Linked DNA regions of Kluyveromyces lactis. The protein of the gene in region 1 purifies or fractionates together with the protein of each later gene. This does not show direct contact. Links are inferred from orthologs where the notes say so. Each region holds a gene or a part of one and is shown on either strand. Other genes may lie near its edges. The genes, in order: CPA2 and CPA1.

What was found.
Region 2: the proteins of CPA2 (region 1) and CPA1 purify together in Saccharomyces cerevisiae (affinity purification with mass spectrometry, with the first as the bait; 3 studies listed by BioGRID). This does not show direct contact. The link is inferred for Kluyveromyces lactis from reciprocal best matches to the Saccharomyces cerevisiae genes CPA2 and CPA1.

Annotation. Positions count from the first base shown.
Region 1 is NC_006042.1:291,398-305,140, reverse strand, and holds CPA2 (carbamoyl-phosphate synthase (glutamine-hydrolyzing) CPA2), read left to right. Parts: upstream 1-4,904; coding exon 4,905-8,258; downstream 8,259-13,743. Other genes in the region: KLLA0_F03234g (uncharacterized protein), read left to right, coding at 107-610; SFC1 (Sfc1p), read right to left, coding at 1,309-2,226; KLLA0_F03179g (DUF5137 domain-containing protein), read left to right, coding at 8,739-9,020; KLLA0_F03168g (uncharacterized protein), read right to left, coding at 9,324-10,880; KLLA0_F03146g (arylsulfatase), read left to right, coding at 12,259-13,743. UniProt on the Saccharomyces cerevisiae protein: Large subunit of the arginine-specific carbamoyl phosphate synthase (CPSase).
Region 2 is NC_006042.1:2,314,092-2,326,635, forward strand, and holds CPA1 (carbamoyl-phosphate synthase (glutamine-hydrolyzing) CPA1), read right to left. Parts: upstream 4,937-12,544; coding exon 3,707-4,936; downstream 1-3,706. Other genes in the region: KLLA0_F24860g (uncharacterized protein), read right to left, coding at 1-3,266; RAX1 (Rax1p), read right to left, coding at 5,767-7,041; DFG5 (putative mannan endo-1,6-alpha-mannosidase), read right to left, coding at 7,837-9,192; KLLA0_F24948g (DUF2867 domain-containing protein), read right to left, coding at 9,889-10,389; KLLA0_F24981g (ChAPs family protein), read right to left, coding at 11,249-12,544. UniProt on the Saccharomyces cerevisiae protein: Small subunit of the arginine-specific carbamoyl phosphate synthase (CPSase).

The DNA.
Region 1 (13,743 bases):
TATTTCTTTTGACCATAATTTACTTCGAAAAGGTTGGTACTGACTGATTAAGAAACAACAGGTAAGAAATACGGTGAAACAGCAGTGAAACAGCAGTGCAACAATAATGACACAACATTCCTCAGAGATAGAATTCCACGACAAAGAAGAACCTAGCACTCTAGGTTTTCCTCAGCTAATGGGGATGGTGTACCATACGGATTTTCAAGTTACAAATGATGTCACCAAGGGTGATGATATGACCAGATGGTTAGATAATCAAACCGATGAAGTGAGCTCGAATTTACTGCAGAGTGTTGAAGATACTCAAAGTATACAATCTGACATTTCCTTAATTTCAGAGTTTTTCCGATCCAAAACAGACTTGGTAAAATCATTGTTAGAACGGAATTCCGAAGGTAACAATGATTTTTCTGAACCGGATCCTATAATATTAAACTTGCAACAACATGTGGATGGAACCTCACAGGATGAGAACGATGCTAAAACGTTGTTCGATTTGGATCCCATGGAAGAAATGAACTTGATTGAGCAAGAAGTTATGAATAAGATTTTCACAGAACGAGTTATACTGGAGATTATCACTACTTTGCGACATGTTCACATATAAAAACTGCAAATTTCAATCTGACGCTATGATAAAGGGGATTTTCATTTGTATATTTAAATTGAAGTTGATATTAGTTTTTTTTTTAGAAATTATTTAGTTTATTCGATACTTTAGCCTAAGTAGATGCTATAAGAAACCAAGAAATGTCTTACTATGTTATAGTTAAAACATTCAGTTTCTAACGAAGGGTAGAGACAAAAGTAGTAATAATGATAATAATAATATTGATACAAATTGTGAAAAATTTGAATGAATGTTGAGTTACTTTGGTGGAGATAGAGAGAGAGAGAGAGAGAGAGAGAGAGAGAGAGAGAGAGAGTGTGTGTGTGTGTGTTGATCTTTTGGCGAATTCTAATATTGGAAACACTATAGCATCTCATAACATTTTGTGTTATCTTTCAACTGCGTCTCATAATTAATCTGAATTTTATTGGGTGAATTGTTCATTGGTTTAACAGAAGAAACGTAATGATGCGTGGGAATATTTTTAGTTCTTCTTGAAATACTTCAAGAAGTTTTGTCTCTTTAACCATTCTCTTAGTTTGTGGAAAACACCTTTATGAATATATCAAAATTCTAATGCAATAATCAAAATCTATAATTATGATTGAGAAGTCTTGAATGAGAGAGGGAGAAATGGTAGTAGGAGCATGATTGAAGGAAAAGAAATGATGGTGAGAACCATAAATTAGATCGATTCAAAATACACCGGTCTTCTCCAATTCTTTACGAATGAATTCATAAGCAGTGAAAGTGACAGCTTGACCTGGAGCCACACGCATCACTCTTGGGGTGATACCTTTATATAGGGCACGGAAACCTTCTTCTTGGATCAATTGTTTACCAATGATGGTAATTCTTTTGAGACCGGACATATTCTTAGTAGATTTATCCTTTTGCAATCTCGTCTTGATGGTATCTAACGGTGCATTTGAGAAGGGACCAATGGCACCTGAGATTAACCCAATCAATGAGGTTTCCCAACTTGGCAACATTTCTTGATTATGATAACCTTGCAAGAATTCTTTTAATTTAGAGTAAACGGTGAAATTAGCACCTTGGTTGGTGGCTTGTCTAGCAGCAGTCAATGAAACACCACGGTACAAAGCGCTGAAACCTTCCTCTTTTACGATGGTGTAACAAGCTTGCACGGCGTTCTTGTATTTTGGAGCACCTTCGACAGGGTTTAGATGTTGTGCTTGTAATCTAATCTTCACGACTTCCATCGGATTGACAACGACGACAGCCTCGGTGATACCTGCACCGACACCAGCAATGAAAGTGTTACCAGTAGAAACTTTACCAGTTTCCTTATCAGCAAGCAAAGTTCTATAGAACTCATAAGATGAGAATCTAATAGCCATCTTTGGTGTGATACCGATGACGACAGCACCTAAACCTTTGTAAAATGCCAAGAAACCTTCATTTCTATAGATTTCACCACCAGTCTTGATGAAACCTGGTGCTTTTACACCGGAACCAACAGCATTTTTGTAGATCTGCATTCTAACCTTGATGGTATCCAATGGATGGCAACATAGACCTTCCATTAGACCCGCACCACCGCCAGCAATCAAATTGACAGCTGGGTTTGAAGATTTTTGTTTCGAAGCCATTTCTGTAGAATGATGTGATATAATTCAAAATAAAAAGACGAAAAGATCTGTAAACCGACTGTGCGAATATAAATATACACGTTATTATTCTCTTCTAGTTGTCTTTTGGCAGTATTTAATACCTCAAACAAACAAATATGACGACTTTTTAAAGCTATCTTTATCTGTGATTCACCTTTAAGGGGAAACGAGATAAATATGCAAAAAATTCAGAAACGAATTCAGATATAAGTTAGTTGAAATCCCAAGTATCAAACTCAATTAAAACCCCACATTTATATATCTTATTCCTAAAATTCAAAAGTTTAAAGAATTGTAAATCTATGTTATAAGTAAAACCCGTAAAAAGACCGAAATTAAATCCCATTAGAGAGTGACTAAAAACTAGGCCCACATCTAGTACTGATTTAACGGGCAGAGGCTCGGACTGTAGAACTCTGAGAATTGACTGCAAGGGAACCCAAAAAACAAAAAAAAACCCTACTCAACAACCAAAATAAGTGGACAGTGAATGGGAAGTACGTAAAACTGTATATACAGTGAGAAATGAGAAATGCTCCGTTAAGTTCAATGATCAACTCGGAATCCACCAATGATCTTTAACTGCTACTTACTCCTCCTGTTGAGCTTTCTAGGCGATATGGATCAAACTAATGGGTTTTTACTCTATGAATATTCCCATGCAAACTGCATGGGATGTTTTACAATAGAGATACTTTCTCTAAAAGAATCATAAGGCCTTTGAGTCTGCCTTTTTTTTTTTTGGTGGTACTAGGTAGATAGGAACCTAGCAATCAGGCAAAGGGGCGAAAGGGAAAAATGAATGATGTCTTTTTTTTTTGTGTTTCGCATGAATTCAAAGAAGGGGGAAAGCAGAGATAAACCGAAGAGTGGCTAGTAGGAGAAATGTTGGATAGCGGTTAAGTAGCCGGCAAATCGGAGTCCGGACTAACTAGTTGGCAAGCTGAAAAATCAGACGGAGCGAAGAGACCAATAAGAACGGAACATTACCAAAATGTTCTGAATCGAAGCCAAATCTCCGGGTCAATGGCATACTTATGGTGATTTTTTTTTTTTTCAGTTTTTTATTATTTTCAATGTGTCTCTCGAGTTACCAGGGAAAATTTTCAGTGGTTGTCAGCTTCAAAAGAACCAATTCGGAGCCGAAAGGGTTACCTCTTACATGCCAGTGATGTCTAAGATTATCACGTGATCGAGGTTGGTTGTTTTTGTCTTTTATCGTATATGTTCATCTTCAGGCGGTCCCTAGTCGGTTGCAGCTCAAGTTGGGCGGCCATTTGCAGACCGTATACTGTTTAATCCACATTTCTACCCCACGTCTGGAGCCCGGACTGAAGTCTTGGTGGGTAGAACGATTCGAGCAGCCGCACTTCCCTACTAACAATACTTGTCAGTTAAACTTTTATCGGAGTTGGCAATATAATACAAGCATTAAGAGTATTATTTGCATCACCTGACCATGCTATTGAGTCCCGGAATCTCTCTGTTCAGTGTTACCCTGACATGATGATATTCCTTCGCTCATATTATCTGTATCTGACATCAATTGACTATTCATTATACACTGTTGTATGGTGAGTATCGCTCGCTCCCTCCACCATCATCTTTCCATTATATAATGCCTAATCATCCTACGAGTTGGCATAAGATTGATTTTTCTCTTCTATTTGTACTTCTCTATCTCGTATACTTTCGTATAGATGGATCTTAACACATGCCAGGGCATACACTCTTTGTGTGGCTGGTTATTTATTCTGACACGCGTCAGTAAATACACGGAATGACAAATTTTTAGAAGACAGTAAGTATTACCCGGGTATTCCGGGTAACTGGCCAGTTTTTTGGTTTTGGTTTTTTTTTTTCCTTTGATTTTTCTTTTCCTTTCACATCGCTGAGTGTTGCACTAAACGATCAGAAAACTTAGGTTCTAATCCAGTTCGAGGTTTTACATCCTCTAAGTGCAAGAACAATCGAAACTATCCCCAGTTTGAAAACAGCATTCTTACTACGGTGTTACTGAAGACAAACGTAAATGGTACCTATACCAAAACGTAGTGCGTCTTATGATTCAAGGATGAGTCTCTTCTTATGTGTCAATAGCCCGATGTTTGTTTTTGCATTCGAGAAAGTTTCACGTAACGGTATTGACTCGTCCTTTATTTCTTGGATTTCTGGAAGATCTTGATATATAGCTTTAATTAGCATATACAGCTCTTTCCAAATTTTAATTTAAGAAGTGAAAGAACTCTCTCTAGCTTTCAACACAAGCACAATTATTACATCACCAAATCAATGATGATATGATGGGAAAAAGAAAAGAAAGCTGCACAGTGTTTCTTACAATGAATCATAGCACTTTTTTTTTTTAGTTTTTTTCTATTGTTTTTTCATCGATTTGGCAATTTTTTTCAGCGTCACTATTTGAGTATTTAGTTTCGATGAACCTTTATCACATCTTCCTATTGACTCATCGCAAATAAGAAGGAACAACTAGCTTGGGCAATATATATATATAAAGAGCAATACACTGATATCAAAATTGGAATTTAAACTTCAGCATAGCTCTTATCAAAAAAGATATCAGTCGTTGCCAAAAGAAAAAAACGATAGTAGAGTATAAGAAGCAACTACAAGGAAGCCCAACCATTTTACTCGCTATGTCTACTAGTATCTATTCATCTACCGAACCCACGACATCGGCATTCAACACTGATGAATATAATCCACAGTTAGTGGAAGGTGTGGAATCAGTGCTTGTTATCGGTTCTGGTGGTCTTTCGATCGGTCAGGCCGGTGAGTTCGATTATTCTGGTTCTCAAGCTATCAAAGCTTTGAAAGAAGCTAACAAAAAGACAATTTTGGTGAACCCTAACATTGCCACCAATCAGACCTCTCATTCTCTTGCAGACGAGATTTATTATTTGCCTGTCACTCCGGAGTATATTACCTATATCATCGAACGCGAAAGACCAGATGCAATTTTGCTAACATTCGGTGGTCAAACAGGGTTGAACTGTGGTGTCGCTTTGGACAAAGCTGGCGTACTAGCTAAATACAACATTAAGGTCTTGGGTACCCCAATTAAGACTCTAGAAACATCAGAGGATAGAGACCTTTTCGCTCAAGCTCTAAAAGAGATCGACATTCCAACTGCTGAGTCCATTGCCTGTGAAACCGTTGATGCTGCTTTGGAAGCTGCTGACATTGTTGGATTCCCAGTAATTGTTAGATCTGCTTACGCTCTTGGTGGTTTAGGATCTGGTTTTGCTAATAACGCTCAAGAAATGAAACAATTAGCTTCTCAATCTCTTTCTTTGGCACCTCAAATTCTTGTCGAGAAATCTTTGAAGGGCTGGAAAGAAGTGGAATACGAAGTGGTTAGAGATCGTGTCGGAAATTGTATTACTGTGTGTAACATGGAAAATTTTGATCCACTAGGTATCCATACAGGTGATTCTATCGTTTTTGCACCTTCTCAAACTCTATCCGATGAGGAGTTCCATATGTTGAGAAGCGCAGCAATCAAGATTATTAGACACTTGGGTGTCATCGGTGAATGTAACGTACAATATGCTTTAAGTCCAGACAGTTTAGATTATAGAGTCATTGAAGTGAATGCACGTTTGTCTCGTTCATCCGCTTTGGCCTCAAAAGCTACCGGTTATCCATTGGCTTATACTGCCGCCAAGATTGCATTAGGATACACTTTACCTGAACTTCCTAACCCAATCACCAAGACAACAGTTGCAAATTTCGAACCATCTTTGGATTACATTGTCGCTAAGATCCCACGTTGGGATTTATCGAAGTTCCAGCACGTGAACAGATCCGTCGGTTCATCTATGAAATCTGTCGGTGAAGTTATGGCAATCGGTAGAAATTTTGAAGAAGCTTTCCAAAAGGCCATCAGACAAATCGACCCTTCATTCATTGGATTCCAAGGGTCTGATGAATTTGATGATTTGGACAATGCTTTGAGTGAACCTACCGATAGAAGATGGTTGGCTGTCGGACAAGCTTTGATCCATGAAGGATATTCGGTGGAAAAGGTCCATGAATTAACCAAAATTGACTCATGGTTCCTATTCAAGTGTATGAACATAGTCGACATGTATAAAGATTTGGAACAGGTTAATGACCTGGAATCTTTGGACAAAGAACTGCTACTTGAAGCGAAGAAACTAGGTTTCTCTGATGCTCAAATCGCACTATGTTTGAACAAGGGTAGTGACTCAAGAACCTCAGAATTAGAAGTTAGAAGTTACAGAAAATCCTTTGGAATCGTTCCGTTTGTCAAACGAATTGACACCCTAGCCGCAGAATTCCCTGCTCAAACAAACTATTTATACACTACTTACAATGCTACTAAGAGTGATATCGAATTCACTGATAATGGTGTTCTAGTGCTCGGCTCAGGTGTCTACAGAATAGGTTCAAGTGTGGAATTCGATTGGTGTGCTGTTAACACCACAAAGGCCCTCAGAAAAGAAGGGAAGAAAACTATTATGATAAATTACAATCCTGAAACGGTTTCCACAGATTTTGATGAAGTTGACAGATTGTATTTCGAAGAACTCTCTTTCGAGCGTGTCATGGATATTTACGAGTTGGAGAATTCTGAAGGTTGTGTCATCTCCGTTGGTGGTCAACTTCCACAGAACATCGCTTTGAAACTTCTTCACAATGGTGCTCACATATTGGGTACCTCTCCTGAAGACATTGACAAGGCTGAAAACAGACACAAGTTCTCAACTATTCTGGATTCTATCGGCGTCAATCAACCAGAATGGAGTGAGTTGTCTTCTGTTGAAGAAGCTAAAGTATTCGCTAATCAAGTGGGATACCCGGTTTTAATTCGTCCATCGTACGTGTTGTCTGGTGCTGCTATGAGTGTTGTTACTGGTGAGCACGAACTTGAAGTAAAACTTACCACAGCTTCGGACGTCTCTCCAGATCATCCAGTTGTTATGTCTAAGTTCATCGAAGGTGCTCAAGAAATTGATGTGGACGCTGTAGCACATAATGGTATGGTATTAGTTCATGCTATTTCTGAACACGTAGAAAACGCTGGTATTCACTCTGGTGATGCAACGTTAGTCCTACCTCCACAAAATCTGTCTCAAAATATCAAAGATAGATTGAAAGAGATTGCTGACAAAGTTGCAAAGGCATGGAATATTACAGGTCCTTTCAACATGCAAATTATCAAAGATGATAGAGATGAAGGTGTTTCCTTGAAGGTCATTGAATGTAATATCAGAGCTTCCAGATCCTTCCCATTTGTCTCAAAAGTTTTAGGTGTTAACTTCATAGAAGCAGCTGTTCAAGCATTTTTGAGCAAGGATGTTCCCGAACCTGTAAATCTAATGGACAAAGCATATGACTATGTTGCAACCAAGGTTCCACAATTTTCTTTCACCAGACTAGCCGGAGCTGATCCATTTTTAGGTGTCGAGATGGCATCCACCGGTGAGGTTGCGTCCTTCGGTAGCAATGCGTTAGAGAGTTACTGGACTGCTATTCAAAGTACAATGAATTTCAATGTTCCTCTCCCACCAAGTGGTATTCTCTTCGGGGGTGACCTATCTAAGAACTATCTAGGTGAAGTGGTGAAATATGTTGCACCATTGGGTTACAAGTTATATGCTACCAATGAGGATACCAAGAAATATTTGGAGACGTTCAGCAAGGGCGTTTCAGTCGAACTAATCGAATTCCCAAAAAATGACAAGAGAAAGTTGCGTGAACTCTTCCAAGCCAAGGATATCAGTGCTGTATTCAATCTTGCCGCCAAGAGAGCAGAGAGCCTAGAAGATGTAGATTATATCATGAGAAGAAATGCTATTGACTTTGCCCTTCCATTATTCAATGAGCCACAAACTGCTATGCTATTTGCGAAAGCTATGAGTCTGAAGATTGCAGAAAAGGTGAAGGTTTTGGAATCTAAGGATGTTATTGTTCCTCATGAAGTCCGTACCTGGAGTGAGTACTTACACTGCAAACCAATTTAATTATCCTTCAAATTAATCTCAAAATCAAAATAAATTAATAATAATTCTCTTAATTGGTATTACACCAAAAAGTTTGTATATACGAACATATTTCTTAATAATACATAGATGATAAACTTGATAAATGTTATTCGATTTTTCAACGATACTGTAGTCGTTGTCTCTAAGGTTGTAGTTAGAGATCCATAAAGAGCCATACAATATAGTTGAAAAAACCCCAGAGTTCACCTTTGATGTAAAAAAAAAAGAAAAGTGCCTTGAAAGATGCTAACGAAGTAGAATTGTATCTATCATATTAAATACCTGAGACGTTGATTAAGTCCCTAAAAGTGTAGTTATTGAGCTGTGATACGTTCATGCTTCCCTACAACAGTGTTCTAATATAGCAAATTACTGCTACCTTCGCTGATTAGGTTTAATCAGAAAGTGTGATTTGAGGCAATACCAAGACACTTCTGAAAACCTAGTTGGCAGTGCAACATGGATGAAAACGATCCATATGGCTGGTACCTGGAGGAACCCGATAATAGCGACTGGGAAACTGATGATACTCAGCAAATCATCAACTCTGAAATGTATACCAGAAGCCTACAACCTGAAAAACTGCCGGCTCTACCACCTATCAAGGAAATAACAGATGACAACCTTAAAAGAGATAGATCAGAACGTTCAGATTCGAAGATGGTGACAAATACAACATATTCCAATTCCAATTCAGATCCTCCTAATGAGCTTCACGGTATTAAAAGACAGAGAAAGTGAGGGCCGTATCACAGAGTTGACTATTTTCCTCTTCTTTCAATATAATGGGTGAGCGGTGCTTCCTCCACAAATCCATGTAACGATTTTAATGACATTGCGTAATATGTATATATACAAAATTTATAATCACAGTAAAAACTAGTACTGACTCAATACGTTCAGTGTTATATCCCAATGACTCATGAAGAACTGTTGTTATCGGTTGACATTTGACTAATTGGCAGAGGAAACAATAGCTCAAAAGGAATAAAAATTGGTAACATAAGGAAAGATGCAAATTAGATATAAGCCAGATGTAAAAGTTCAGAATTTCTTTGTAACAAAAGCAAATACAGAAGATAGAATTGTATTATTGTGCGCATTTCTAGGTGATCTATTAAGCTTTTGTTTAACCGCGTAACATTTGCTCATCGTATATAAACCACTAGAAATCATGGACAATACAGAAACATAGATGATAAAGTTGTTATAATTCTTTAAGGAACCATCACCGATGATAACACCTGAGACTGGAATTGCAACTAGAAATGAAAGACCAACGAAACAATACATTGTTGCATACCTTCTTCCAAACTCGTTTGTCCTTGAAATTTGACCGCAGCAGACTGGAGCGAGATTAATCAATGACCCATAAAACAAACCATAGACTGCGGAAAATCCGTACATTACCGAAGGACCTATGTTTCCGAAAGGTAACCAAAATATTAGCGGGACAAATCCTAACAAGAAATTGATCATGATCATGACGTTAAATCTGCCCATCACTTTATCAGCCAAAAAACTAAACATGTATCCCCCGACAATACTTAAGGTGTTCAAAATGGTGACAAGTAAAAATGAAGTATTCTCAGAATACCCTACCGTTGTACAGTAAGATGTGATATAGGTTAAAACGGCACCAGTAGATACCTCAGCCAAACACGAAGCTAAAACACAAAACAGATACTTTTGATCGGATACTATAGACTTGTAATCAAAGGAATCTCTTATGTTGTAAAGTAAATTCTTGTGGAAAGGAGTGCTAGCATCTTTCGGTTCGACAGCCGCACGTTTCTCGGGGTCTTCCTTGATTAAAAACATCGAAACAGTCAAACATACTCCACAAATTAAAGCCATAATTCTCATAGTCCAGGCGAACCCCAAATTTTTAAACGATTTTTCTAAGAATAATGGGAAAATAACACCACCAATACTCCCACCGTTAATGGCAACTGCAGTGGCAATAGCTCTTCGCTTCTGAAAATGGTGACAGATACATCCCAATAACGGACTAGACGTAATACCTGATCCTGTGCCAACGCAAACACTCAATGCAAGAATAAACTGCCACACTTTAGTACATTGTGCTACTGCCAATACACCCCCAACGGTCATTACTGTACCTATCACTAAAGGTTTTCTAGCACCATATCTGTCAAAATACATCCCACTGAAGACACTTGTCCCTAATAACAAACAACTCGAAACAGAGAAAATCCACGATACTGTAGATGTTGACTCATCCTTTAACTGGTGACGTGCAACGTACGTTTGAATGACACCTGCTGAAAAATACAACCCCCATGTAGGTAAAATACCTAAAAATGAGCCAAGAACAACTAGCCAAGCTGCGATCCCTCCCTCAGCATACGTAAAACCATCGTCATCGTAATCTGTATAGGCATCTGAACCTCCGTCATCATTATCAAAACTTTGGACGGGCTGTAGTTCATTTATATTTATACCTACTTCTGATCCGATAACGTTCTTCCTCGTCCTTTGTTCATTAATACCTTTCAACTCGATAGTTTCAATATTTGACATTGCAGCTTGTGTTAATTGCCCATCAATTCCCTTTACACCCATTGAATCGGATGACATATCTAAAAGAAGTTTACTTCACTCACACATGAGATATCGAAATGTTAACAAACCTTTAAAGACACCTCCCAGAATCCAATGCTATTCAACTGCGTATGGATCCTCCCCAAATATATATATGATATACTCCTGCAGTTGGCATATTCTTTTTTAGACTATTTTCCAATTTTTTACGTAACGTTCAATGCAGATTCCGAAGTTCCGGAGGAGACCATCAACGTCAACGTATTAGGTTTGCAAGTGACTCCATCTGTCGTATAATAATTTGTACATGCATAACCTGTATCAGACATAACGACAATGAACAGAGGAACTAGGTAGAGAAATTCTGGAATTGGCTACTCGAACCGGTTGTCAACTATATTAACTATGATTCTGAAGGTAAATAGTCGGTATTTGTCACGTGACTTTCCAGTGGAAGTAACAGAGGAAGCTCATATCATTTTTTTTTATTTTTTGAAAACTGTTCGTGCCCTTTCAGTAAGCGACAAAACCATTGCGCTGAGTTCTGGTGAGCTTATCGGAAAATTTTGAAGATCTCCATTTATTGCAGACCCACTGCCTCTTCTGGTATTTTATTGCGAAAGTCTTGAGGTTGTTCAAAAGAGCGGGTAACTTTTCGTATTTACTTTAGGCGCTGTTTCCCAGTTTCAGACATTCAATACCTCAGCTATTTGAGGGCCTCCATGAAAAGTGACCGGGTAACATAATGGGTGGCCAAGTAAGAAGCTAATGCAGGTGATGCAACATGCCAACGCATTTGTGGGGACATCTCACATCTAAAATTAAACACATATTACCTGTCAAGCCGTAGGTGAACATTAACAGGCATTTGGTTACTTATCTGTGGATACGGAATACATGCACTTGATGCTGAACTGTTGGGCGCTACCAAACTTAATAGCACGTGACTTCTCCTAATTTTGCAGGTTGTCATAACCAAAATAGATACAGCAAGCCCATCCGCTCAAGAAAGAGGACATGAAATTGTGATGTTTTTCTTGCTAGATCATAATGTTTGTAAGATTTTGGAAGAAAAGACTCAAAAAGACTCCGTTTGACTGCTAAATTCTGGGCAAACTGGAAAGTACCGGGCTTTTCTCTGGAAGTGTAAGGTATTACTAAATTAACCGGTTACTGTTCGCTCCACCCGATCATGAGAGTTTACAGAAAGTTCTTACCTTGAAACTTTTTTACTGTCACCCTTTTTATCACTTCGAGTAAAGCTTTAAATGACATAATTTACAATATAAATATGGATCATCTCACCTGTCATCATGGTCTTTTAGGAATTGTGAAGGTATACTAACCAATTGTTACTCTATGATCTATCCGAAAATCCGCAAACTGCATTAGAGAAAAGTACAATCGAATTGCAATGACCAAAACAGATGAACCTAAAAAGCCGAATTTCTTAATTATTGTCGCCGATGATTTAGGGTTTACAGATGTGTCGAGTTTTGGAGGTGAAATACAAACGCCAAACCTTGATAAATTGTCTAAAGGTGGTTTCAGATTCACTGGTTTTCATACTGCATCGGCATGTTCGCCAACTAGATCGATGTTGTTGAGCGGTACTGACAACCATTTGGCAGGTTTGGGCCAAATGGCTGAATATGCCAGGCAATTTCCAGAAAAGTTCAAGGATAAACCTGGTTATGAAGGTTATTTGAACTATAAGGTTGCTGCATTGCCTGAAATATTATCCCCAGAATATTACACGCTGATTTCGGGGAAATGGCACCTTGGATTAGAAAAGCCATATTGGCCAAGTGACCGTGGATTCCAAAAACGTTTTACCTTGCTGCCTGGTGCAGGAAACCATTTCAAATGCAATTTGGATAGCAAGTTTCTTCTCCCATGGATTTATCAGGAAAATGGCGAAAGGGTAGACCATAACAAGTTTCCAGAAAACTTTTATTCCACCACTTACTTCACAGATAAATTTTTGGAATATTTGAAGGATGATGAAGAAAGAAAAGGTCGCCCATTCTTTGGCCAGTTGACCTACACAGCTCCACATTGGCCATTACAGGCTCCTGCTGAGACTATCGCAAAATACAAAGGTAAGTATAATGGTGGTCCCCAGGCATTGAGAAGACAAAGATTGGAAAGAGCTAGAGATCTTGGTATTGTTCCAGCTGATGTTGTTGCTCATTTAGTAGAAACTCAAAGAGAAAAGACTTGGGATGAATTAGATGATAAGGGAAAGGCCTACGAAAGCCGTATTATGGAAATTTATGCCGCGATGGTTGATGAATTAGACCAAAATATCGGTAGAGTTATCGATCATTTGAAGGAAACCGATGAATTCGACAACACTGTCATCATGTTTATGTCAGACAATGGTGCTGAAGGTATGTTAATGGAGGCATTGCCGTTTGGAGGTTCCACTTTCAAGGAAAGAATATCGTCCGATTATAACAACGATTTTGACAACATTGGTAAAACAAACAGTTTTGTTTATTATGGTGATTTGTGGGCTCAAGCAGCTACTGCTCCAAATTATATGTATAAAATGTGGGCAACTGAAGGTGGTATCAATTGTCCTCTTATCTTACATGCTCCACAATTAACAGGACTATGGGAACCAGGTCAAATCATCGACCAGTTTACAACAGTTATGGACATTTTACCTAGTGTTTTAGAATTGGCTAACGTTCCTCATCCAGGTACCTCATTTGAAGGTCGCAAGGTGCACGAACCAAGAGGTTTGTCATGGATTCCTTTCTTAAAAAAAGAATCCGAAAGAATATATGACGATACCAGGGTCACTGGTTGGGAATTATTTGGTCAACGTGCCATTCGCCAAGGTCCTTATAAAGGTGTGTATATTCCACCCCCATTTGGCCCTGGTCACTGG
Region 2 (12,544 bases), about 2.0 Mb from region 1:
TATAATGGCATAGTTTGCTTCGTACCGTCACCCGAAATTGCGACCATACCTGTTGGCTTTTTCCCGTTTTTCACAGCTTCATGCAACGTTGGAAATTTGGTCGAAGCTGGCTTTACACCTGAAAGATTTTTTACCTCCGAAGATACAGTCACTTTTGTTGATTGTTTGTTTGTTAACGGGGACTTCCTCATATGTTGGCCCCAAACTTTAGTCTTGTCTTCATTTGGCTTCTCCTGGAATTTGGCTTCCTCAGCCATCCGTTTAATTTTCTCTTTTTGAGTTTCCTTCTTTATTTTTATCTTGACGGTACTATTTGACTTGTTAGTCGTTTCACCAAGAGCAGGGAATGAATGTTCTGAACTATTTTTGCGAACCAGTAACCTGTTCCCGTCCATGTTGGTATGAATTTCATGCGCCGCTTTGTCATCTATCGAAGCAGCTCTTGTTATGCTGGATGGTCTTCGTTTCTTCTTCTTAGAAACCTCAACAAAAGTAGACTGATCATCGTCATCATCAATTGCGGAATCTGTCATGTTATATGACTTATTCCAAGCAATCGAATTCTGGGCTACAGCGCTTGGTTTTCTAATATTTACCAGATTCTCATTGATGGATGAGCTTCGTGTAGTTTTACTGATGCTGGGTTTCCTTACATCTAAACCACTCTTTTGTCTATGCTTTTTATAAATAACTGAGTCTACCAAAATCTCCAATGGATTTTCCTCCGAGATGAAATGAGAATTGAAAGCGACAATATTCTTTTCCAGTTGACGAATGTAATCTGACGCTTTCGGTCCATAATACCAACTTTCCTGTGAGCACATGCCTAATTCTGTTCTAAATTTTTGCTCAATGGATTTCCACATTTCTGATGTGATGTTTTGCATGATATGCTCTACGGTGTCAGAGCTAAATAAGACAGAAGGATTCCTGAAGATATACTCCTGACAGTTGGCGGCTAAATCCGGTAAATTAAGGTCGCTAGCTGCAATCCAGAAAGCAATAACATTGTTTGAATTAACTGATGATATCAACTGGCTTTCTATATGTTGGACTAACGTCAAAAGCATAAATTTATCTGATATTTCAAGCATGTGCAATAACCTATCGTGATACCTTTGATGTCCCATATTGAATGCAATTTTATCAAGTACCTGAGTAGATTTCTTTTGACAGGATATATTATAGATGCAATCAAGAATGCTTCTGCAGATATCATAAGAGAGATCTGTCCAGTCCACTTTATGATCGCTGAAATTAGCTGACCAGGTTTGAGAGAAAAGTCTTCTGAAATACATAGAATGGGCCTGTAAAATAAATGAGTAGGCCAGAACACTCTTACCGTCCTCTAAAAGAAGGGTGACATTCGGTGAGACTGGAAAATCAGGTTGTATTGAAATTTTGATGTTTCTTTCTAAAGTACTTGGTTGTGTAAAAAAACTCGGTAAGTAATAGACATCAATAAAGTTCTGAAGAGTTGCACAATTGAGAGCTTGCATATTTTCGTCGGAGACTGAATAATAACAAGAAATGCAGCTTTTGAAATAAATGCCGAAGTCCTCAGGTCCGAAGATCTCGAGCGTCCACACATAACCATTTTCTGTACTTAGATTCATATCAATAGCTTCTAATTTGTTCCTCCAAACAATTTTTCCATTAGTTATTAGTTCCAAGTAAAGCTTTTCCTGGGCGGCTGCAAGTATTGCCCTATGGCAAGATGTCAACCTTTTCCCATTAAATATCACATCAAGGTCATAATTGTCATTTAACTTAAGATTAGATTGTTGTTTAAAATCAGGTTCAGTAATCATTGCAGTATGTTCGGCTGTTAAAACATTGAATGAAGCAAACAATGGATCGCAAGATACCTGACAAGATGAGGCACCTGCCATACTATCTTGTAACTTGGTGAACTTACGACCTAACAAAGGACTTGAGTAAATATCACTTTTCGCAGTTAAAACAATAAGCTGCCCAGCACTGCCTATATCGAAAGATATACACTTATCCCAGGAGTACTTCGGCCTCCAGAAACATTGTGGTATAGGTGACTTTTTGAAATCCGGAATACAAGCAACGGTACCGTCATCATAGAGTAACATCAGGTTTTTACCATGTGAGTCTTTGCATTTGATATCAACTATTTGATGATCATGAAATTTTCGACTGAAAAACTTGTCGAAAGAATCGTGCAGTGAAGGTGTCGTTTTAACTGTCAATATTCTATAATTCGTAAGCGCAAATAGTCGATTTCCACCGCATAAAATAAAAGTAACGAGGTCTGTACAGACAAGAACAGTCGGCTCGTTTATATCAGCTGGTAAAAACGAGGTAACTGGTTGTGGCGAAATTTGTCCTTTTTGATCGAGATAAGGGGTCTCTTTTTTGAATTTACTAGTAGATCCAAATTGACCAACGTCTAATCCCCAAGATTTGATTGAACCAGATTTTGATAGCACGCATGTGTGTATATTCGAACATGCGATTAGATCATCTTTTCCGAGTCCAAGCTCTATTGAATTGGGTTGATCTGAAAACTCGGTGGTTTTAGGGTTTAAACCCAATTGACCATATTTATTGGACCCCCATAAAAGTATATTTCCATTGGTTGTTTTGGCAATTATATGATGATTGGAGCACTTGATATCTTGTAATTTCTTGTCAGAGAATTTTACATACCTGAAGAGATCTCTTTTTCCAAACAAATTTAATTTCGTAGAACGGCCAGTGATGTATGCTGAATTTGTTCCATCCTTGTCTACCATCAATAACAGAGAGTAGTATTTGGTCATACAGCATGATTTAAATCTTAGATCATTATCACACATCTTCCAAGAATCAATTTCATACCATGAGGTTAATCTATCATTATTATCACCGGTACCTAACTGCATGTTGACATTGGAACCAAAATTGAAACATCTGGAGTAGGATTTTCCACTCTTGACATCCTTATTGAGTAGTTTCCTCTTATACCCTGCCTTATTCATAACCATCGATTGCAATAGCAGTAAAGGTGACATACCAGATTTATCAGTTATTTGCCAGGATTTACCAGCATCATGCGGATCCTGTAGGCTTCTTGCGTACAACTTGTAACATTTCTCTAATTGGAAGCTTAGCATACACAAATGAAACGCAGTATATCCGCTCTCCCAATCTTGATCCATGAGGTTGATCCTTTTCAACTGTGAATCATTAGCAGCTGGCCACATGGACAAGTGATACGAAAGAGTTCTTCCCATACAATCTCTCACATCGGTCATAATATAGTTGCCTTTATTGACGTCCTCCCAACGGTCTGATATAGTGGATACTTAGGATGTTCTTCCAAAATTTAACGTTGTTTATAAGATACCTGATGAACTGAAGCTACTTTCTAACCCAGCACTGTGATGTGCCCCATACACGTTCCTCATTCATTTACTATATATACTTCGCATTAATCATATTGTAAGTTGCAAGATAAAGTTGTCCGGGTAACATTTTCGAGGAACACGATCAATACTCAATAAGTGCATAATAACCCATAATATCTCGTAACGTCGTGAGGATTGCGCGAACTTGGATAAATAAAGACTGAGAGTTATCCCAAGAGGTGAGTTATTATGTATCATGTAAAAGAGTAGTTATCAAAAAGTATAGAGAGTAGCGCTTGACCGCTAAGATAGAAAGTGTGATTTAAGAAAGTGAAAAGTTGAATAAATTAGAATACTCTCTCAGTCGCCAATGATGAAGTATTTAAGGTTAGCTTGACTTTTGGACCCTTCAAGGCTCTATACTGGGACATGTTATCGAAGTATCTGTCGAAAAGTACAGCAGAATCTCTCGGGCCTCCCTTAGCTTCCGGATGGAATTGAGTCGAGAAGATTGGCCTTGAGACATGAATCATACCTTCATTGGACTTATCGTTCAAGTTTTGGAAGAAAGGTTTGAACCCAGATTCTGGAAGAGTGTCAACATCAACAGCATATCCATGATTTTGTGAAGTAATGTGACATTGACCAGTGGTCAAGTCCAATGCTGGGATATTGTGAGCTCTATTACCATAACCTAGTTTAATTGTTTTACCACCAGATGCCAAAGCTAACAATTGATGACCTAGACAAATACCGAAGATTGGCAAATCTTGCAAGGTATTGGTCTCTAACAATTTCTTCAATTCTGGAACAGTAGATTCCATACATTGAACAGGATCACCTGGACCATTAGAAATGAAGATACCGTCGAACTGGTTTGCTACTGATGTGATTGGGTAGTCATATGGGAAAACAGTAACGTTAGCACCTCTTTCCACTAAACATCTAATAATGTTTTCCTTGACACCACAATCAATCAAAGCAACGTTGAATGGAGTTTTCACTGAGGACAATGCTTTCACAAAGAATGGTTTCTTTGTCGAGACAATCTTAACCAAGTCAGTTTCTGGTTTGATTGGCTTAGGGATAAAAGAACCTTGCACAGTAATTGTAGAAGGTGATGACCCTTGTTCTCTCAAAATTTGAACAACGGCACGAGTATCAATGCCACCAATGGCGGTGACGTTTTCCCTTTGGCACCATGTTGCCAAGCTTTCAACAGCAGTCCAGTGAGAGTATCTCCAAGCATACTCAGCAACAACAATACCGCGGACGTGAATGTGAGGAGATTCCAAGTACTTCAATAGGTTAAAGTCATCACGTTCTTCTCCACTAGGCACACCGTAGTTACCGATTAATGGTTGCGTAAAGACGAGGATTTGACCCTTATAGGATGGATCTGTCATCGACTCCGGATAGCCAACTAAAGAAGTGGTGAAAACGGCTTCACCACTGCATGAGACAGGAGCACCGAAGGAATAGCCTTGGAACTCGACAAACCCAGATTCCGAATCTGGATTTGAATTATTATAAATGGCAAATTTAGCTTTAGGAGCAGTACTTTTGAAATTAGGCATTGTTATTTTTCCAGATATGGTCTTGAATGTAGTCTTGGCAAGTGTATGAAGAGAAGCAGAGTCTAAACATACAACTTAAAAAAGAGTGGGATAAAGGTTTTTTGAGATTTAAGCTCTGGCTCAAACAATCAGAGCAATAAAATTTCTTTAACGAAGAATGGGAATTGTTAGTTGAGAAGAGATATAAATTCAAAATTCTCTAATAATATGATAGCAGATTTCGATTGATGATCAAAATTTTTAGCAATCGTAAAGTCTTGACTATCAAGTTTTCAGTCCAGTCTATGTGGGTTTCGTTTGCAACAGCTGAGTACGGTTTGTGGAAGAAGTTTATAATGTTCTCTGGAATTGCACTGAACTGTCAGAAAAGAGATAAAAAAACTTGCTATGGTTCTTGTATTTATATCACTATGGCTCTTATATTTTATCATAAAAGAAAAGCTTTATTTAATTCTCATCGCATTTCTTGAGATAGTGATGCAATTTGAATGTCATCTCGAATTTGCATCTCGGTGACTAAATAGAAAAGAAACGATTTCCCTGTGAAAAAAAAAAAAATTAGCGAGTCCTCCCATGTTTGTATGTAATATATGGGTTTGGGGTTTGGTGGAGGGTAACTGAGAATTTGGTGTTTCTGTTGTTCAACCAAATGCACGTGACTTGTTTAGATTATCATACACACTTCCGTTAAGTTCGTAGAGGCAGAGAGAAACAACATAAATAGGATTAGTTATCATCATTACGTTATTATTGATATTAGATATACTGTAGCTATTACTTAAAGGATTAAAGTCATTAAAAATTGAATTTTATTGTTCGAATTTGTGGTTTCATATTCTACGTCCAGGCACGGCAGCAAAGATTGCTGTCAGTATTGCCGTCATAATCAAGACCAATAGTAGGCACCAGAGGGCTCGTCTTATCATTATTGAGTTCACAAACGGATGTTTTACTTTGCATAATCTAGATCTGCCTCCAAAAATAGTTAACCACCAGGGCACCTCGTTCGAAGAGTGAAGTGAATTTGAACGATGATTATTCATCGATCTTAGTTCCAGGTCATCAAGTTTACGTTTTGAAACTAGTGTTTGAGTAACTCCACTGAATGCGTAGATGATATCTACTAAGTAGATACCACATATTATGTAGTAAGATCCCAAAAAAAATGGAACAATGCATACCACCCTTATTCCCTTCGAGTAGTTCATAAATATTAGTGTATAACCAATCCAAAGCCCTACCAGCCACCATGCGAGTCCAATAGTAAGTCTGGAGGCAGTAGACCATTGGCTGAAGGGAGAGTTTGAACGAGAGTTGTATGATTTATTTTTCTTAGGTCTTTGCAATACAATCTCATCATGTAAATTGTGCAATGCAACGCATCCTAAGAATCTTGGGAAACAGTCCACTTCTAAGAATTGATAAACAATTTCTTTAATTGGTTCGAACACTTCAGGGTCATGTCTCTTCTCTTCCATAATAAGCCTTATCGTATCGTTTCTTAAATATGCTGGAATTTCAAATAAAAATCTATCACTTTGTTCTTGAGAGAGTAAGTAGGTGGATACAATATCTTGTGCACTTGATATTAGCTGCTTTGTGGTGAGCTTTGGTTTATGATCCTTCGTAACATTACTCTTGACTAACCCATCTACGAAATCGCTGAAATCAATTTGATCGTTGTTCACTTGTTTCCAGTCCTGCAATAGCTGAGATAAACGAGGAGAGTCCGTTTCACCTTTCAAAAACTGACTCACACGCTGTGAGTCATTATAATCCAAGTAACCATCATTCATTAGTGCCTCTAGAAGCATTGCCGATGATACTGATTCTCTCTTGTCATCTCCATTACCTTCTTGCAAAACAGTAGGAGTTTCAAGCTTGTTAACATCAAGAACAGACTCTCGTATACCCTTCACATAATCTTTGCACAATCGCAGATATGCCATCACATCAGTCCAAAAATCGAGATACACTATGGCATGGGGGTATTGGGACAGGTAAGTATAGAAGGACCATAAATCCAAAGGCGCAGCGGTTTGTTGGTTTAATACTTCATATAGAGTGGGTAAGCGGGCTCGCTGGGAATTTGGCAATTTTTCCATGACTATTGCTCAGCGGTTTGCTAACACTGGAATGGCTTCAAAGTGCTGTTAAGATGTCCGGTATTTCAATAGGAGCAGTTTCTTTGAATATACTGTGACAACAACAACTACGGACTGGTTGAAAGAGATAAATTATATTTCTCAGATAACGTGTAAGGTGCCACTTGCCTGTTAATTGAAGTATTTCGACGACCGTTAGCTACACAAACTGACCGTTAGCAATTGAGTAGGAATTGGTGAGTTGTCAATATGTCTTTCTCATCTCTGTATTTTAGAATGAGTTGAGTTTCAGTTTCATGCTTTTTTTTTTTTGTAAGGCCAGATCAAGAATTTTTCTCGATTAGGAAAAACCAGCATGTAATTTGCATCAACAATGGGTCTAATAGTTTGGAAAGGATGGGAAATCAATTCCAAGTATTCGATACTCGAGAATTATATGGGCAACTTTCTTACTAAAACAACTTAAAAATATCCATAATTATTTACTGGCTTCCATCTTTCATCATTAGAAGGGCCTTATACGTGACTTTCGAAACTTCATTATAAAATCGATAAGTAATGGACATAGAATCGTTGATTGACTTACATATAACATCAGTAGTAGATTACACGGTTTAACTTCGTAAACCTGGGGAAATTTTATGCATTACTATTTAACAAATGCTGAACAAGCTTCATGATTTCTTCGTGAAAGAAAGTATACATGGATGATGAAGCTGACGTAATAAATACGTAGCTCAGTATTCTGTCACATCGAACTTGCATGCTAAAACTCACTTTATTAATATGTTACAATTATAAGACCATCCATACTGTCCCCAATACAAGAACACCAAGCACAATTGTAGTAATAATACCTGCACCGGCTTTGTCTCCTGCTGTGATGTTGATGTTCTTCTGTAAGACATTTGTGGTACTGACGTTTAGACCGGCACTAGCATCACCACTGGAAGACCCACCAGTGCTTTCAGTTAATGGCGCTGGTAGATCGTGAACAAGCAATTGGTTAATGATTTCCAAAGCGCACGCCTGTTCACCAAGACCATACTGCCCATCCCAATCACCAGTAAACCAATTTAATCCACAGGTATGGCCATCAGTACCACCGCTACATGATTTGGCTGCTGCTGCTGCACTAGTGTCTATGAGAGGGGTTATTGTATCCGTTGTGAACGGAGCCAAAACTGAAGTATAACCTAACATTCTTGAGAAAATTGCTTTAAAGACACGCTGATCTGTATTACATTTGTTTGAAGCTTGGCATGTACTTTCATACATTATGTCATCTTCGAAAAAGAATGAAGTGGCCCCACCTAAAATTTGTTCGGTACGTGTCTGCCAGACATCAGACCCATTTGTTGCATTGTACATATACGCGCATCCGCCAAGAACAACACCATGGTTATAGCTCCATTCGTATTTCACAATGGAAGTACAGTTATCGTCGATAGTCGCACCATCGAAAACATTGGCCTCTTCCTTCATTACTACGAAATCAATATCGACAAGCCAATCGAAGACCTTTTCTGCTACCTCCAAATAAGTAGTGTTACCCGTATATCTTCCGAGTCGTGCTGCCAATTGGAAGAGACAACCATTGGAAATTGTGTTCTTATAATTGTATCCCGAGTTCCAGGTAAAGATTTGCCATCTTAAGCCACCGTTACAATGGTCTGAATCCCAACGTGAGTACATTTGATTGAAAACAGCTTGTACCATGGCCAACCAGCCAGGTGTGCCGTCTTCCTTCGGATTTGTGAAATTTCTTTCCACGGCAGTCATTACTGTCAAAGCCCAAACACCTTGATCATCATTACCTTCCACCATAGTTTGATTACTTGGCATGTAATCATAATCGGACCCAGTTTGTGCCATCAAAGCATCGTAAAGCATATCTTCATACGATGTATTTTGACATAGATACCAATTTTCAATCATACCTCCGAAGACAAGTCCGGCTTCCCACCAATAGTATGGCGATACAAACATACCGACAGTCCCACCATATACGTCACCTTCATAGTAATCACTAATACCTTGTTGAATCAAAGCAGTTGCTGTACATATCGACGACTTGGAACTAGTGTCCAAATCAATCGCAAGGACGGATACTACCGTTAAAAACAAGCTGTACAACGGACTAATCTTCATTATGATTTCCCTAGCGATGGAGGTAAATATAATAATAAGGACTTAGACCCCGGAAGTGAACTTAGCAGCCTGATTTGGTGTAATAAATAGCAGAATATCCGAGGATAGGTGAAAGAACGCTGAATAATTGTTTTCCTCGTCAGATACCAATTGCTTACTATTGGTATCTTCTGTCTAAATTTCAAATGCCACTGTTTATTAATTATTGAATATCTCACAACAGAAGAGGGCTTCAGTTATCATTAAGTATAAACTCTGTGGGTTGGTTTCCTGCTATTTCTGTTTTTAGAAATGTCAAATCAATGCCATTATTTTGCACGTGATATGGAAATATTTCATGATGAGCCCCATTGGTATTTAACTAGGGTAACCGGAAAATCATGTAGGGCAGAATCAGATGCGTTCCTATTGCAGGAATATCAGGTTTCAAGACCATACCGATTTATCTTGCATTGCCTTTGTTGAAAAGTATTGACAGGCATCGCAGAAATTTACCTGTAAATTACGATGTATTATACAAAATTCCTAGCTAGCATTTATCAGCTGACAACTCTAGAGCTGTATTTTCTGAGGTGGTATAGGTGACCGAGATTTAAAGATGTAATAGTGATGATATTATGTATGTTAATTGTTATATGACTGCAAGCCCAAACACCACAGATCCACCATATTTTTTACCATATGTTGGCATAAGTTTCAAATGGGCTCGAGTTTATCCAACATGGACCTAACAATAAAGCCATGTGCCATAGACACAGGCAGCATGTACACCCTGCCAAAAAAATTGTAGGTAACCACACTGGTGGCTATTCTGAATTCATTTCTCAGGTCATCGTGGTTCTTGATTTGCAATGCTACCAATACACTTAAATGCTTGTCAGTAGACTTCAAAAATAGTTCATCATCCGACACTTTGACAACGTCGAAGAAATCTGCTTTATCGCCTACTTTTAGCGGCTTCGCAGAACCCTCAAAACCCTTAATCGACTGTATCCCACCCAACCACTTACTAAGAAAATCTCTTGTTTTGAATGCCGTATCCAACCACAAAGGTACGTTGCTTGTCATCAATTGATAAGCTTGAGTGGTTGTCATCTGCTTATCAATAAGCTTCTGATCTTGATGGATGTAATTTAAAGTGTTGAGCGGAGCAACCAGAGGTATTAGGTCTTTTTCTGTGTTTGTTGAATTCGACATACCTGTATGAGAGTCGCAGAACTGCTTTCACTAATCAGTGGATTTTGTTTGATGAAGTAAAATGGCCTACAGTATTTGCTTATCATTCCAAGAAATGTTCACAAAGTGGGGGAGATCTCAGACATTCGAACTACTTTCTTATTGAATACGACCAAATATATTTTCTTATAATACTTTTTGACCATAGATGTTCAATATGAACTCGACGGTGGCTTACAAATAGACTGATTTCGATCAACTCTTATTGGTGAAGACTGCTTGGTAAGCAACTTACTAATATATACTTTCTGTTCTATCTACAGTAAAGAGGGCACTGTTTGGATCCAGTTTGGGAAATAGCTGATGCATTTAAAAGGTTATCAAATGTATGTGTGCGTTGTCGGATCTTAAGTATTGCATTCGACTAGAAAAAATTAAGCCACCTTAATAGCACTAGTGACAGGTGAGAAACGACCAGCAGGTTTTTCTGGCAGTACTGTTTCCTTTTGGTACATGCTGAAAGGTGTATGGATATACAATTCCAGCACGAACGTTACCGGATATTTTCGAATTCTTGCCCAATGCTGCCATGATTGGTTCACACGCTACCAGAGATCGACACTGGAAAGTGATACAATCAAAAACACATTTTGGTTATTTCTCAATGCACTTGAAAGGCAATAATGATTCGGTACAGCTCTAGGACCTTAGTGGCTAACTTGCTACTAAGAAGGTATTTCAACGGTGTATACTAATTTATTGGACAGAAATCAAAAATATGTGACATTAATATACAGACATGTAGGATAGAATTCACTGTATGGAGTTTACACAGTCTTATAATACATAAATGAGAGATCACTTTTCAGTAATGTTAAAATCATTCATCGTAGTAATTGTTGCTGTATTCCTGGAAAAATCGTAGAATATTGTCATGGAATAGGCCAGACACGGATTCTGGGAATCTGGAATTGACTTCATTCTCTACTCTGGTGATACCCAAATTCTCAACAACTTTTGCCATGGCATCTAAAAGTAACATTGAGAATTCTGCATACCAACGGTGGCTCCAACAACAAAGCTTGACGCAAATAGTTATGATTTCTAGATCAGTATCCTCAGAAGGGTTTGATTCACGTTCCATTAGTAGAATCTGTAGTAACTTTCTTGAGGACTGAGAGCTAAATCTTTTCTGTAGGCCATTTTGGAACGCAGCCTTTGCGCTTTGGAATTGTCTCAAACGGAAGCAACATAATCCAATTAATTCCCACTCTAAGGTTGTTTCTGGCTTCAATTCATTGGATTGCCATTGAGAATGGACCCTTAAATCATCATATAACAACATGAAGAGATTATCAAACCACCTTTCACATAAACGCTTCCCTCTTATGTCCCGAGTTACTTCTTTTTCTGATTCGGTTTCGGAAGTGGCGTCCAGATGATCATATTCTTCTTCCATTAAAAATAGTTCAGCTCTTAATTGTAATAGTTTCTCCCATCCTAAACTTTTCACTATTTCACATAGAAGTTCATAGATCCATTGAAATGTGTTTTTCAAATTGGCAGACTTTAAGTTGTACAAGACGGGGTTAACAATCTTATGTTCTTCCATTACTAGAAGTGAATTGAGATTAGTGACTTCGTCTAATACGACATCTAAAGGGAGTGGGAGGTGTAATTCAACAGTAGCATTGTTTCCATCAGTATTCAAGATTCTTCGATACTGATATTTTTGTGCTAAGGATGCGAGGTTCATTGGTAATGAATTTAACGATAACAAGGCGTTTTTGTTATCACCTAACGCAATGTAAGACTTAACCAAATAAAACCAAGGCATGAAAGCATTCGGGGTCAAATCAACACCACGTTGACTTGCTTCTAGTGCTAATAGTGGATCGTCGTGTTTCAGTAGGTATTTTGCTTGTAGGAGCAACAATTCACATTGATAGGTTGGATCCTTAATTTCCTGTAATGTATCATGGATCAATTTTATTCCATCTAACTCTTTATCATTAGTCAAATAAATTCTTGCAATTATAATGTTAACTAGTGGACCAAAAGCTTCCTTCAATTCATGCAACATTGGTAGGCATAAATCAATGGATTTTGTGAAGCGAACAATTTCACATAAAGTTTCCACCAGATAGTTATTGGTTAAAGTGGAAGGCATATTACC